2 linked regions of the Alligator mississippiensis genome follow. The protein of the gene in region 1 purifies or fractionates together with the protein of each later gene. This does not show direct contact. Links are inferred from orthologs where the notes say so. Each region holds a gene or a part of one and is shown on either strand. Other genes may lie near its edges.

Region 1 (7,992 bases):
ATTCCTATACTTTTCAGTGCAAAGGAGATCCAAAGATATCTTTAAAACGATATACTGAAAATATGCATCATGTCCTGAACGGTATTTAAATGTCAGTTGCATTTACAGTTAATGCTTTTATAATGCTTTCTGTTTTCAAGACAACATGCAACTATTAACTAATCAATCTGCATAAAGCTCATAAGATAGATAAAACAGTTTTGGTCATCTACAAAACAACTAAATGTTCCAGGCATAATTTCATCGAAACCACTCAGTTCCCTATCTTTTTTTAGGAATATTTTTGACAAACATGAACATTTTTAGAGTAACCCTTGTCTGTCTCTCTCTCTCTTTTTGAAACAGCTGCAAATATTGACTAAAACTGTATCCAGAACTTAAGTCATCGCCCCCCTCCTTTTGCTGCATGTGTGCTTAGTATAACTTCCAAGGGTGTTGGATAGCATCCTAACAGCTGTCCTCCATTAGCGTTGCCCACAACACACAAGTAATCTTGTAATTACTTTGCCAATTAAGGAGTGTTAGAGTGAAGTTGTAGCGGATGGTCCAGGAATTATATGAAAGGCAATGACTTCTAAGTGTGATATCTTTTATTGGACCAACTGCATAGTTGGGATAGAGTTAGACAAGCATTTGACTGCAAGACATTCTTCTTCTAGTCTAACTCCAGAGTTCGTATTATGGGGTAGCTTGGGCAGGAAGGGGCGGCTGAGTCCCCTCATAAGAGATGAGGAACCTCCCACCACAATAAGAAGCAAGAACCACCAGTCAGCCCTTGGCTAGCCCTGCGCCTTTCTAAGCAGCCCAGGTGGCAGAGGCGGTGGCGGCTCCTTCCAGCTGCCACCACTGCAGACCCCCCCCCCCCCCCCCCGCTAAACAAAGTCTAAGTGTAATTCAAACCCTGTCTAACTCCATCCAAAGGTCTAACTCTATTCAAGTTTAACTCTATCTAAGCTTGCCAACTCTATCCCAACTATGCAGTTGGTCCAATAAAAGATACCATCCTAAGAAATCATGGCCCCTCTAATTAAGGAGAACAGGATTTGGTCTGATGGCATTTGTTAAGTATTGTTCACGTTCAGCTTTGACTATTGGGCTTCCCATTGTTTGGCATGTGCTCCCTGCCCCCAAGCTCTGCAGCTTCCCCACCTAGTGGAGGGAAGGGGAGTGGCAGCAGCACAGCAGTCAAAACAGAGAGAAACTTTTAAGGTGTGATAGTGATTTTTTTTAACACCTGTCTCCCCCATCTCTCAGCCAGACTCCAAAACATGACACTTTTAGAAACTTTGTGAAAGTCTGTTTCATTTTGGTGCCAAATAAATACGTACATAAAAGCAACCAACCCCAAGGCACCCTTCTAGCCAGTAGCCCTACCTGCCACGCTGGACAAAGCAGTGCAGGGGAAGAGGAGGTGTCACAGAGTGAAGTTGCAGATTAAACTTAGAGCAGGCATAAGCAACCCTTGGCATGGATGCCAAAGTGTGGCACGTGAAGGCATTTTGCTTGGCACATGCAGCTCAGGGCAGACAGCAGGGAAGTGGCCAGGCCTGTGCTGCCAAACAAGGATTGGGCCCCTCACAGCTCCCCTGCCACCCACCCCTGGCACTCCAACATTTTACAAATGGAGGTTGTATATTTTTGGCACTCTGCCCAAAAATGTTGCCAGCCCCTGATTTCGACCATATTAAGGACACTTAAAACATGAGTCTACACATTAAAGCTCATTAACTCATGCTAAGTGTCCTCTGAGCATCTCAAAGTGATGCCACTTCAGGCATTAACTCTGGACCACACTACCTAGGGTAACTTCAGCCTGCTCTGCTGAGATAATACGAACAATTTGCAGTCCTCTATCATCCCCAAATGTACCACTTCCAGCACCCCCACCTACCTAGAGCAGGGATAGAGCCCTGATGGGGTAGCCACATCCCTGCTCACCAGCCCTGTAGCCACAAAGTCAGAGCTGTACAGGCAGGAAACAGTATTAACCCTTAACATGCAGCTGCTCGCAGCTTTCTAACTTTAGCATTATTTCACGTCCCACAAATGTAGCACAGTCTAAGACAGGAGTGGGCAAAATCCAGCCTTTGGGCTGGACTGTTCCAGCAGTGGACTCCATTTCCCAGCAGCCCCTGCCTGCATCGCTGTGCCCGGTCTCCATGGAGACCCTAGGAGCTGCGGCACAGTGACCGTGCAGCGCCAGGGTTTCCATGGAGACTGGACCCACTAGTGCTGGCAGAGTGTGCAGCTGGGTGGGGAGCTGCTTTGGGGCTGGGATCTTGCAGTGGTGACAGTGTGGTCCAGAGCTGGGGCAGAGCTGCAATCCACTGCCCACACGCTTCGGGCTGGAGTGTGCAGACAGTGCTGAGCTCCAGACCACACAGTCAGCACTGCAAAATCTCAGCCCCAGCCCCAGAGCAGCTCCCCACCCAGCTGCATGCCCTTCCAGCACTGCTGGGGCTGGGCTCCATGGAAACCCTGGCTGGGCACTGCCAAGGTGCCCCCTCTACTAGGGTCTCCATGGAAAACAGCTGCAGTGACATGGGTAGGGGCTGCTGGGAAATAGAGTCTGGCTGCTGGCAAGATCTGCCATTTTGCTCACCCCTGGTCTAAGGCCTCCTCTACACGTTATACTTCAGGCATGATTAATCACTTAATCATGTCTTAAGATGCAACCCAGCTACACGTTTTCAATTAATGGTGTGATAAAACAAGCAATAAACAAGCTAAAAAATGTGTAATAACTTTATATCTTGTTCTAATCAGACCATTAATTGACCATGTAGCCCCTGTGTCTGGGAGCCCCATCAACCAAGGGGCTCCCAGCCACAGGGGTGCACCACCTGCTACCAAGGCTCGCAGTCAGTGGTGGCAGCATTCCTGGCACTGTCCTTGCCGTGAGCCTCCTCAGCTGCAGGGCTCACAGCGGAGACAACACTGCCCTCCCTGTGTGCCTCATAAGGTGTCTCATTAGAGTCCATAGGGCCTAAACCTGCATGTGTAAAGAGGCCCCAAGGGTAGCGTGTCACTTCACCCACAGATAAACCACCCTTTTTCCCCAGTGGGAAGGCCCAGTGCTTTTCCTCTGCCAACTCAAGGCTGCAGCGCCCTGCTGTGCCTTCAAAGCAAGGCTGGACAGAAACCAGCTGTACAGCTGCGACCCATTTTTTAGGCACAAAGTGTAGAGCCACTTGGCTCTTTTTTCTAGCTGGAAAATCATTTTTATCAGGTGGCAATTACAGCCTAGCTGGTCTCCACTAACCAGTGAATGGCGCAAGCATCACTTTGTCTTGTGCTTGTTTCTAGTTAAGGCAGGGTTCAGCCATTAACTTAGCCTTGCCAGGTCTTAAGTATAAAATTATCCTATTGGAAGCTCAAAATTATCTTATTTGCTGAAAAACTACCGTACACTGAAAAATACGTAAATAAGGATGCAAATCAGTCTTCTTGTTTACTTTATATTGTTCACTGTAACTTGCCAGTGACTGAGTGCGAACTTGAAGCATTGCTTTATTTTGAGGCAAGCATCATAAGAAAGTGCAGAGAGCAAACCCAAAAATGAGGCAGCACTGTACATCTGTCTGAACAGCAGGGGCCCTCGACAACCCGTTTCAACCAGTTTGTGTCCTGCAGCAAAGTACAGACACACCGAAACAGACTGTGTTAAAATGTTTCTGAGCAAACATCAGTCCTACTACCAGAAAACAGTGGGAGAGGATGGAGAAGACACAGCTAACTCCACCTGGAAAAGAGATGCTTGGCACAACCTGTTCAAAGACCCCCCTGGGAAGGGAAGAGGACAGAAAGAAAAGGACAATGACACAACTGGACCCCAGGACAGTGAGGAAGACAGCAACAGGTTCAGCAGCAGCAGTGACAGTGATATCAACAGAGACAAGGATAGGGAATGACTGAGAATGTAAACCTAAATCGGGGCTTGGACTACAGGACTGCGATTGGGTTAGGGAAGGGCAGCGGGTGGGTGTGGGCAGAGCTGGTCCAACCATTAGGCAAACTAGGCGGTCACCTAGGGTACCAAAATTTGAGGGAGCACCAAAATATATCCAGAACAAAATAACAGGAACATCATTCTAAATAGCAGCTCTGGCTAGCTACAGCTCCACCTTGGTCTAAGACCTGTGGCTCGGTAAGGGGATAAAGCCCTCTGAAAAGATCTCAGAGGTAAAAGTTCATTTTAGACTTCTTATTTTCCTCTATATTGGAAGTGGGGGGGCACTGAGGTGCACAATTACCCTTGGCCCGGCCTTGGGTGCGGGGGGGTACAGGATCATTTGTTGTGATGGGTACACTGCTTCTTAATGTGGTTTAAAGTGTGTGATGGAAAGTTTTATGCTAGATGATGTATATATATCTATATATATTTATGTCAATATAGCTATGATATAAATATATATAGCTATGTATATATCTCTATATCAATATAGCTATACGATATAGATATATCCATATATAGATGTAGATTTCCACCCCCCCCAAAAAAGAGCAAACCCAAAAGTCGGTCAAGACTCCTGGAGAGTGATTTGGGTTTTGCATTTGCTGCATCAGTGAGCTGCCTCAAAAATTATCGTACATTTTTCAGGGGGAAAAGGACAATTTTCTTGCCATTTTCCAGTTGGTCTAATAAAAGGTATCATTTTGGAGCCAAGACCTCTAGTTTGTACACTTTTACTATTAACCAGCCTACCTGAGCGCGTTGAAACTCTGATAACGATGATAATGACAGTCCGCCTGGCAACATCACTACCAATGAACTGCCTGACATACGTAATCCCGCTCCGCCCCCAGCTGGGAGCGATTGGCTGGGGCTGGACGGGGGGCGTGGCTCAGCGTCCTCCCTTCCCCTCCCGTTCTGCGCTCTGTAACTGAAGCTCTGGCTAACTGCTGGATGGTTAGGAGCGCGCGTCACGCGGCAAGTTCTAGGGGGCGGGACCTCGCAGCCAGCCCCGCCCCCTGTCTTCAAACCTCCCGCCTCATGGCGTCAAGCTAGCGCTGCGCATTCGCATCTACACTTTCAGTCCCGTCCGGTCCCTGCGGTGGGGCTCATCCTCCTCTTCAGGCGGCTGGGCCATGCGGTAGCCGGGCCGCCAGCTTTACGATCCGCAACCGCGGCTGCCCCTGCAGTCCCCCGCCTCCCTGGCCCGTAGCGAATGTGCGGGGCCGACGCGGCCGCTAGCGCGGTTTGGGCGGTTGTCAGGGAGAAACAAGATGGCGGCGGCGGAGGAGGACACGGAGCTGCGGGACCTGCTGGTGCAGACGCTGGAGAGCAGCGGGGTGCTCAACAAGATCAAGGTGCGCGGCGGGGGGCATGGAGCCGACGGGTCTCGCGGCGGGAACAGAGCCTGGCCCAGCGGCACCGGCGCGGCTCAGCCCGGGCCTGCGACCGCCCGGTCCGCGCAGGGGGCTGCGGGGGCCCCGGTCCTGGCACAACCGGAGAGGCGTCTAGTAGGGGCGGGTTGGGAAGGGTCGCGCTGAGTTAGCCCCAAATCCGAGCCGTCCCTTTCTAGCCCGACCCAGAGAGCAGCGTTGCCAGGTCTTAAATAGGAAATTATGGTCTTGGAAGGTCACGATTCTCGCATTTGCGGAGAAACTATCATGTGCTGAAAAACAAATGCAAGTAAGTATGCAGATAAGCCACTTTCTTATTGACTTTATGTTGTTTGTTGTGAGCCACCGAGCACTGGGTCATCAAAATTTAGGTGTTTCCTTATTTTGAGGTGAGCAGTCATAACGTGCTTAACGTAGACCCAAAACCTCCCACTTAGCTGCTGGAGTAGGAAGGTCTTGGCTTTAAGCCTGCTTTATGGAAATGGGAGACTTCTCCCTGGCTTGCCCCAGGGGCTTTACGGCTGAGGGCAAGCAAAACTCAGGGGGATCCGAATAAGTAGGATGCCCACTAAAGATTTTTGGAAACATCTGAAGCCCCAGATGGGGTTGCAGGATGCTTGGTAGTAGTAAGGCAACTTACGGTTCTGGACTAATTCTCAGATTTGGAATTTGTTTTGACTAATTTGGCTTGGACTACAGAAAATTAAACAAAAAAACCAAAACCTCATAAGTCAGTTAAGAAACCCTGAATGTTACCTGGGTTTTGTATACGCTGCATCAGTGAGCTGCCTCAACAATTATCATACACTTTGAACACTTACTGTTATTGATCCTACATTGTACATGGGTTGTAATTGTACAGATACGATAATTATTATACACTTGGCAACACTGACAAAGAGCTGTTCTGCAGCCCAGCTCGGGACCTTGCATCGCCAAATGAGCTGGGGCTGAGTTGTCAGTGAGGGGATTTATTCAGAGCTGTGATCTCTTCCCCTCCCCGGGGTGCCACCAGGTCTGCTGGGACAGCCCTGCCAGCACAAGGCACAGGGTGAATCCAGAGGCTTCCTCCCCCCACCCCTGGTAAAAATGTCCTGCCCTGTTGTGGGTTCCCTGTGGTGCAAGAACTGCCCTGTCATTTCTCTGCAGTCAGAACAAGTGGTGTTTTTCTGATGGGGGAGGGGGAGGCCTGAAGTGTGTTGAGAGCTGCTGATTTGGAGGAAGGTGGACAGCTAGCAAAAGCTCAAGTTGACAAGCATGTTGGAACAAGGGGGAGTTGTTGGTTTGGAAGAGCAGTGGCAGGCTGTGCTGTGTGCCATGCTGCTAAGCAGAAGTCACCTGTTGATGCTTTGCTGCCTCTACCACTTCACATAACAGTTGCGTCCTCAGCTTCATTTCTTGCATCATATTGGTAGGTGAAAAGCACAGTTTGTAGATCCTATATAAGTAATATTGATTATAGTGAAGTTACTGAAGTCCGGCTGCTGCCTCTATTGGGTTTCCTGTGCTTTCTTTCCTTGTGCTTAATTCAAATGTGCAATGTGCTTCAACACGGAAAACTTGCTATAACCAATACAGCACAATTAAGGATTCCTTGGCTGACCACAAATTAATGAAACTTTCATAGAAATATATAGTGTATACTACTGCCTGAATTATTTCTTGTACTTGCAAGGCCTCCTGCACCTACTTCATGAGAACATGAGATTGATTTGTCATGCTGCAGCAGACCAAATGCCTTTGTGCATATCCAGACAAGGTTCCTTGGGTGAATTTGATATCTTTTATTAGATCAACCCACTTTGTGCATATCCTGCCTTTGACAGTGGGAGGTAACTTCTGCCCATAGTTTTCTTGCTCCCAATCAATTGACGTACAGCTTTTCAGTGGCCAGCTAACCAGTAACCATAATCTGAATTGGGAGTAAGCTCAATCTTTTGGTAGTTCTGGTGAAGCAATATTGCTTCTCTTGGTCTCTGACAGATTTTGGTAAACCTTTGTTTTTAAGAACTGTTCAAAAGCAACCCGGTCACTTAAAACCCAAACTTGAAATGGAAGCTGGCTTAATGGGTATAAGGAGAAAGAATACTTTTCTTTCCTGCCAAATGTCAAACAGTGATGCTCATTATATTATTTTCTGTAGTTTTAGTACATATTAATAGCTTTTATTATGGTGCCAAAGTTGAGAGAGAAAGTTATGCTTTGACAGTTGTTGTTTATGTACTGCCAGATGAAATGCAAACTAGTTTCTAGGAACTGGTGAAGGTAAAAACTAGGAAGCAAGTCCTAGAAGGATATCTGTTTAGTGTTGTTTAGAGGTTGATAAGAATAAATACGTAAGAAGATTATCTGGATATAGGTGTGATCTAGCTAAAGTAGACAATGTGAAATTGTCAAGAAGAAAAATATGGAAGGACTGAAAAATAGAACAAAGAGCAGTAGGTAGGACCCGTAACAGGCCTCCAGTAATGCAGCTGAGGGAAATACAGGGCACTTGGGGTCATTGCTGGTCTGCTACAGTGACTTGTGGTGATTAAGTGAAATCTTAGTCCTACCATAGACTAAATGAGGTGGTAATAATCATTAGTGGTTTGGAAACTAGTTTTTTTTGTGCCAAAGTACCCAGCATAGCTATAGATTATTGAA
Region 2 (7,311 bases), on another chromosome or scaffold:
TTGCAGCAATTCAAGTTATTGTAATGAAGTAAGAAAAGTATTTTCCCTCTTTATAACAGCACTCAAGGTATTTGAAGACTATGTCTCCCACCTTAATCACCTTTGCTGCAAGTTAAAGATGCCTAGTTCTCTCAACCTTTCCTTGTATACCTTGTCTTCCAAACCATTTATCATTTTATTGCCCACCACCCTTCCTTCTACATATCCTTTTTAAAAATGTGGAGCCCAAAACTGTACATTCTAGGTGAGGCCTAACCAGTGCCAGATAGAGTAGCACTATCATCCTTCTTACACCCTATATTTCTGTTGCTGCAAGCCAAATTGCATTTTTTTGTAGTGCGTGACATCCTGACTCGTACCAAGTCTGTAACCCACCAGGGCCAAAAAAACCTACTCTTTCCAGGGCTACCATCAAGCCAGTTATCACCCATTCTGTATTTGTGCTTTTGATTATTCTTCCCTACATGTAGCATCTTGCATTTGTCAGTATTGAACTCCATCCTTTTGTTGTTCCTACTTTTGCCACAAATGTTTGTTTCTACGTCCATTAAATTTCATTCCAGTATGAAGAATGTCTACTGCCTAATTACTGGTTTGCAGGCACAAAAGACTGCCAATCTTAAGATTTGTTCACAGACCTATATCAATTTATGAAGTACGTTAAGAACTAAAATGGAATTTAAAAGCTATTTTGTGAGGTCAACGAGCATAGTGGACATTACTAAGTCCCCATCACCGACTTGGATAAAAGAGAATTAAAGGCAACTGGAGTCATACTATCCTATATCCCCACAGGTGAGGGCATGAAAGTCTAAGCAGTTGGCTCAAAAGTTGCTTGCATGAGACACATAGAGACAGAGACAATTAAAGGTACCACAGAAATAGAATTCTGTCCCCATAACTATTACCATGCCAAGGAAGATTCTTATATCACCAGTGATAGACAAGCCTCCAAAGTTCAGCCTGTTTTTCATAACTAGCACAGGAAGCAGTTTTATAGCATCCAATATTTATTCATTAGTATTTTGTCTTGCAGGTAACTACAAGCCTCAACTAGAAATTATAGTCAAATTATGCTATGGGCTGTTTGCAACCCCTGTTGAGGTGACCAAAAAAGTTGATGAAATACTCTAACAATTATAAGTTATTTCCCCCTGAATTATATGTGAACTTTGTTCACTTGGCTTAGTCATCATCCAATTAAAAATTCCTTATCTACCTAGCTTTAAGTTACAAGACTAAACATTAGTTGGCTACCACAGTCTTAGGACAATAGACCTGGTGGGGAGAACTAGTCAACACCATTAACTGAAAAGAAATAAAAGTATAGTAATTAAACATTTTTCAAAGTTTAAGTAAATGTTATATACAAATTAAGATAAGTTTAAAGAAACCTAATTACCACAAGTATTTTTCTTTGTACTTTGAGCAGGTATTCAAAACCTTACTTATGGAGAAAAAAAAAAATCATATCATGCTCAAGCTTACCGCAAGGACAAAATAATTTTTCTGAAGCTTTGCTCACAATACAATTTAAATAAAAGTAAATGGTTTAAGAAATTTGGCACTTATGGCAGTAACCTTTGAGGAGATGAATTTTGACAGAACAAGCCATCAACTTTCCATATAAAAGGTTAATTAATTAAAAAGCCCCATGCATAAGGCATATCTCAACAAATTAAAATTAAACTATTAGCAATTGTACATAATTACTAAGATTTACAAGCCATAAACAGGGTCTTTTGACACTAATTCACCTAAACCTTCAACAGAGCAATTGTGACAAAAGATAACTCATAACTATTTTTCCTTTATAGCCAGTTGTATGCAATAATTCTGTTGGTTTTAACTTTCCTAAAAACCCCCCAAAATGACACACATAAGATCGTTTAGCTCTGACTTTTAAAAGGTTTCACTACTGGCTGCTGGCTTGGACTACCGAGTTGATTCCAATGCAGACTACCACAGGAGCATTGGAAGGGCCTGAATAACCAGGGCAGAGAGACCCAGAAATAAGCACCCCCCATTCTTCTCTACAGGATACTAAAAAGGTAGTTGGGGTACTCAAACAGCCTCAGCTTTCCAACGTAGCCTGTGATAAACAGAGGGTATAAGACAGCACAAACATGTCTACAAATGAATTCTATGCAAATGTTATGCCACAGACCTCTAAATACCTCAAGCGCACTGTATCATTGACAGAGTTAAGGACATTTGGGTACCTTAGTTGGGCTCTTGCCTAGCAAAAGTTTCTTTGATTTCTTTTGAGCAACACTGTGCTGTAGACAGAACCTGACTTGCATTCACACGACCTGGAGACTAGTCTCAGCTCAGCTGCTGGCTAACCTATGTCACTTTGCCTTGGCCTCCCCTTCTGCGACACAGGGAGAAACGCACACAGAGGACCTGGAGAAGAGCCTCCCTATCCTGACATACCCACACAGCAGGCAAGGCGAAAGAGACGTGCCATGATGTGGAGCCACAGTGCTGAATGTCTGAGTTTAGAGGGTTTTTTGCATCGGGACGAGGGCAGGATCCAGTCCTCACCTGAGCTTGTTTCTCCGGGCACCGCGCGTCTGTACCCGGCCCCTCAAAGCCGGACCGCGGCTCTCTGCGCTTCTCCCTCAGCCCCCGCCGGCTCGGGCGGGAATGCCCTTCCAGCGGGGTGACGCGGCGCTGGCGGCTGGGGGTGCTGCTGCCCCGGCCGGGAAGGAAGCGCGGATCTCCCGCTGCAGCGGCGGGGGAACCCGGCCCACAGGCGCGCAGATCCAACGGCAGCGGCGCGGAGTGTCGGGGCGGGGCAAGGCCGCACTCACCTTCTCGCAGAGGCTGCGGACCTGGCTCTCGCTCAGCTGCTTGCACTCATTGAGCTGCTCGATCCACTGGTCCAGCTCCTTGGCGAAGCCCTTCTCCTCCATGGCGGCGGCGCTGCCCGCCGCGGGCTCCCGCGCGGCCCAGGCCTAGCCAACGCTCACGGCCAACGACGGCGGCACGAAGCCCGCTCCGCACCCGGTCTCGGCCCGCGCCGCGTAATGGCTGCCGCCGCGCTGCGCACTTCCGGCCCCTCCTCCGCCCGGCGCGGCGCACTTTCCGGCCCGCCCGCGGCGGCGCAGGAGATAGAGGCCGCTTCCGTAAGCGCATGCGCGCGCTCCGACCCGTCCTGTGCCCAGGGAGCCCGCAGGGCAATGGCTCAGCTGTACCTTGGGCCGCGGTCTCTACCGGTCGTCCTTTTGCCACCTGCAGAGCTGACCCCGCACCTCTCCTTCCCTTCATGTCACGCTGCACCCATCAAGGGCCCTACTGCCCCTTCCGCCCGCACCACGACTCTTCTAAACACACCGTGGTGGGCAATTATTTGGGCTGGAGGACCTCTTTGGGAGTTTTGGTGGGCACCCCCTCCCGCGGCCACAGCTCACCGAAGCTTCCTAAGTGCTCTGCCCCGCGTTCAGGCCGCAAGCAGGCAGGGAGCGGCAGCCAGCAGGAGCACGATGGGTGGGCGATGGCAGTGTGGGGCCAGGGCCCCCGGCAGAGCCGGGACCGCTCCTTGCATACCGCTACCATGGGCACCCGTTCCCTGGGCAGGGGCATGTGGGGAGCGGATTGCCGATCGTGGCTCTGCCCCAGGCCTGGCCCCACATTGTCATGCCCAGGGTCTCCATGGAGACTGGCCAGGACCCGTGCAGACAGGGCACATGGCTGGGCAGATGGGCTGGGGCTGCTGCCCTGTGGGGAACAGCATCTGGGAGGAGGACGGGCTGGGGGCAGGGCTGGGGCTGGGATCAGGACTGCAGGGCCACGGCAGCACGGGGTCAGGGCCCAGGCCTGGGGCAGAGCTGTAATCTGCTCCCTGCATGCCTCTGCCTGGGGAACCGCAGGGACCCCATCGCAGGGACATGCAGGCAGTGGCTTGTGGCTCTGCCCTTGGCTCTGCCCCTGCACTGCGAGCACCCTATGGTCCTGGTTCTGGATGCTCCCTGCCTGGCAGCAGCCCCATCACATGCACTCAGCAGCCTGCCCTGCCCACACAGGTCCGGGCTGGTTTCCGTGGAGACCCCACCTGCATCCAGCTGCTGCAGGGGCTGCTGGGAAGTGAGTCCAGCTGCTGTGCTGCCCCAGCCCTGCGGTGCACCCAGGGGCAGCAGAACTGGCCACATAAGCCATGGCCCAGTCTTCCTCCCACACCTGGATCAGGAGGGGCTGAAAGACCTGCCATGAGCCAGACAAAATCCCTTGGCAGGCTGGATTTGACCTGTGGTCTGAATTTTGGCCACCCTTGCTCTAAACACACCAATGCACCTCTCTGCCACCCACAGCCCCATGCCCAAACTAGGGCTGTCCAACTTCTGAGTGGCTTAGGACTTCATGCTGTACAGACTCTCCAGGCCCCCCAACTGTGTGGGCCCAGCAGGCTGCCCTGCCCAGTTCCCAGGTTTAGAGGAAGTGGCAGGAAGTAGAAGCTGGAGGGGAGCCCCGAGACCCCCAATAGCCATAGCTGTGGTAGCAGCGGAAGCAGCAGCAGGAGTGATGGGGGAGCTGTGCCTTGGTTAGAGCCCATGGGCTACCAATTGGACAACTCTGTCCTAAACTATAGCCTCACCACACATCCCTTTACACTAAGTCAGTTTTCTTCTCTAAGTGTGCTCCACAGCCCATTTCTCCTCCCAAGGTACATCACCAACCATAACACGCATTTTTCCTCCCCCCATTTCTTATACATGCATCCTCACTACAGACCCCAATACTAATGCAACTATTTAAGCTCTGTCACAAACCCCCAATGTTCATGGAACGTCATGCATGTTTTCCTGAATTAGATTTGCTTTATGGCATGTACAGATAACTTGAGAGAAGCTGTACCTGGCTTTTGTCATTCATATGTTTGTATGAATTATGGTATTTGATATGAATGTATTCTTATATTTTTATAGTATTACTTAGGAAGGGTTGACTAAGAATTTGCATCAGAGTTGGCTAAGCTTAATCATTGGCCGGATAGGCCTTTGTGGACTAATCCCAGACACTTGCGTCTGGCCATTCCAAAGATGAACTGACATTTTAAAGGGAAGAGTAGCCAAGGTAACACCTAAAAACAATCTAATAGGAAGATTTGTATTTCTCACAGTAGGGAGAATAAGACAAAGTTTATAATGTACTAAGGTAATTGAAAACCAAGGATATGGAATTAGCAGTCTTCATATCTGGTATTTCCTTGTTATAGTTAGATCAGGAATCACACCCAACCTGCCAGTCAGATACCCAGAAGCAGGAAGTTGTATGCACAATATATGTTTCCTGAAAATTCAGTAGAGAAGTGTAAACCATCTGATAAGGACAAGTATTTAAGAGTTGCCATGGCAACTAAAGTTTCTCAGGCATTGGGTGCTCTGGTCCCTCCTGTGGCCAACATGACCTAGGGCTAGGCAACATGAGCTCACAGATTAGCAGAGACTTTGGCTTGGTCATAAGTAGAAGCTGGAGGGGCTAAGATGCAGAGAAAAGAATAAATCAGAGATCTTAGTTATTGGTTTATTTTCATATCTCTGTCTGTATGCAGCATACAGTTACTGATTCTTCTGTTTTCATTTGTTTTTCTAATAAATCTTTTTGTTATCTTTTATAACTTACCGTCTGTGTGGTAACTATGAGTTCAGAGCATTTGAGCAAACAGGTAGGTCTTTTCTCCAAAGGAGAGGGTCAGTATTTTCTAAGCACATGCTAGATAATAAGTATGATTCTTAAGCTGGCAAAACTTCCTCAGCCAAGAGCTAATAGGACCTGGGTGAGATTGGTAAAGTTAAGGCACCCTTGGGTGGTCCCAGTAGTCAAGCAGCAGATGCCAGAGAGGGGTTTGGAGCTGAAGGAGACACCTGAAGGTATAAGAGTACCTCAGAGCATCTCAAAGGTGTAGTTGACAGAATCCATGTGTGTGTGTCAGAAGGCCTCCATCCACAGGTGCTCTACCATTTATACACACAACTCCCTCCTCCCTTGTTTTAGGAAACATAGTGCTTGAAAGGACATGTGTCACCGAGTGTAACCCACAGCCATTGCAAGGCCCTCTCACATTATCTCCATAGGTGGTAGAAGGCCAGAGCTAATAGGGCTTAGCCCCCTCAAACGCAAGGCAGCAGGTAGGGCTTCAGGGCAGCCCAGATGCAGGCTCTGGGCTGCTGCAGCAGAGAGGAGAGGGATGTGCACACTCAGATATGCAGCTAGGATCGCAGCCCCAGTGTGTGGCTGCCCAGCACAGCAGGCAAGTTTCAGCCTACTTCCTTTGTGAAGGGGAAGGAGTTGGGGGGGGCGAACAGATCAGTGTGGGAGGGAGTAGAGCAGGGACAGGGGGTGGGGTGAATGGGGCCCTGGCCAGGCTGGGTCGTGGGACAATCAGAGCCTGGCGGCACATCCAGGGACATGGGTGGATGCACATGGTGTCGCATTGTTCCCAGTGCAGCTGCAGCAAGGAGCAAAGCCCAGCACTCAGTGGCAGCTGCCTCTGCCCCGCACATAGATGAGGGGGCACATGCCACCTGGGCCTGCACCAAGGTGCACACAATGACAGGATCCCGCTTGCGCCCCTGGACGAGCAGCCCAAGTTCCGATTGTCCCACCACCCAACCCCACTGGGGCCCCATTCATCCCAGCCTCTGCCCCACTCCCTCCCTCACCACTGGGGCTTCAATCTGCTCCCCCATGGTCTGCACACATGCTCAGCCCTCCCCGTCCTCCAAATAATTTTTTCTCCCTCTATGATTATCCCCTTCATAAACATACTAAGCTCCATCTTTAAAGTAGATATTTTCCTTTGCCCCCCACTATACCCATTGGAAATTTGTTTCAGAATCTTACTGCTCTAATGGTAAGGAAACTTGTTTTTATTCCAGCCTAAATTTATTTATAGCTATTTTTAACTACTTATTTTTATTCTAGCATAGTTGGCTAGCTTAAATAGTTCTTCTTTCTCCCTGATGTCCAACCAGATGCATTTATAGACAACAATCGTACTCTCTCAGCCTTTGCTTCACTGAAGGGAAGTCAAGCTCTTCTGGTCTTCTGTCATATTAGTTCCTTCATTCCCTTGATCATTCTAGTAACCATTCTTTGCACTTGGTAGTTTGCCTGCATCTTTCTGGAAATACACACATTATACCAGATGAGGCCTTACTAGTGCTTTGTATAAGTGTTAACACTTTTCTCTCTCTCCTAGAATATTCCTCCTGATACATCTACAAAGTTACATTTGTCTTTTTCACAGCTGCATCACACTGACATGTCATAATCATCCTCTAATCAACTAGTATACTCAGGTCCTAT

The links.
Region 2: the proteins of CEP43 (region 1) and PPP2CB purify together in Homo sapiens (affinity purification with mass spectrometry; 4 studies listed by BioGRID and IntAct, counting the BioPlex papers as one, with this or other methods). This does not show direct contact. The link is inferred for Alligator mississippiensis from reciprocal best matches to the Homo sapiens genes CEP43 and PPP2CB.

Annotation. Positions count from the first base shown.
Region 1 is NC_081824.1:144,063,291-144,071,282, forward strand, and holds the start of CEP43 (centrosomal protein 43), read left to right. Parts: upstream 1-4,951; 5' UTR 4,952-5,226; coding exon 5,227-5,310; intron 5,311-7,992. UniProt on the Homo sapiens protein: Required for anchoring microtubules to the centrosomes. Required for ciliation.
Region 2 is NC_081825.1:168,614,418-168,621,728, forward strand, and holds the start of PPP2CB (serine/threonine-protein phosphatase 2A catalytic subunit beta isoform), read right to left. Parts: upstream 3,046-7,311; 5' UTR 2,919-3,045; coding exon 2,817-2,918; intron 1-2,816.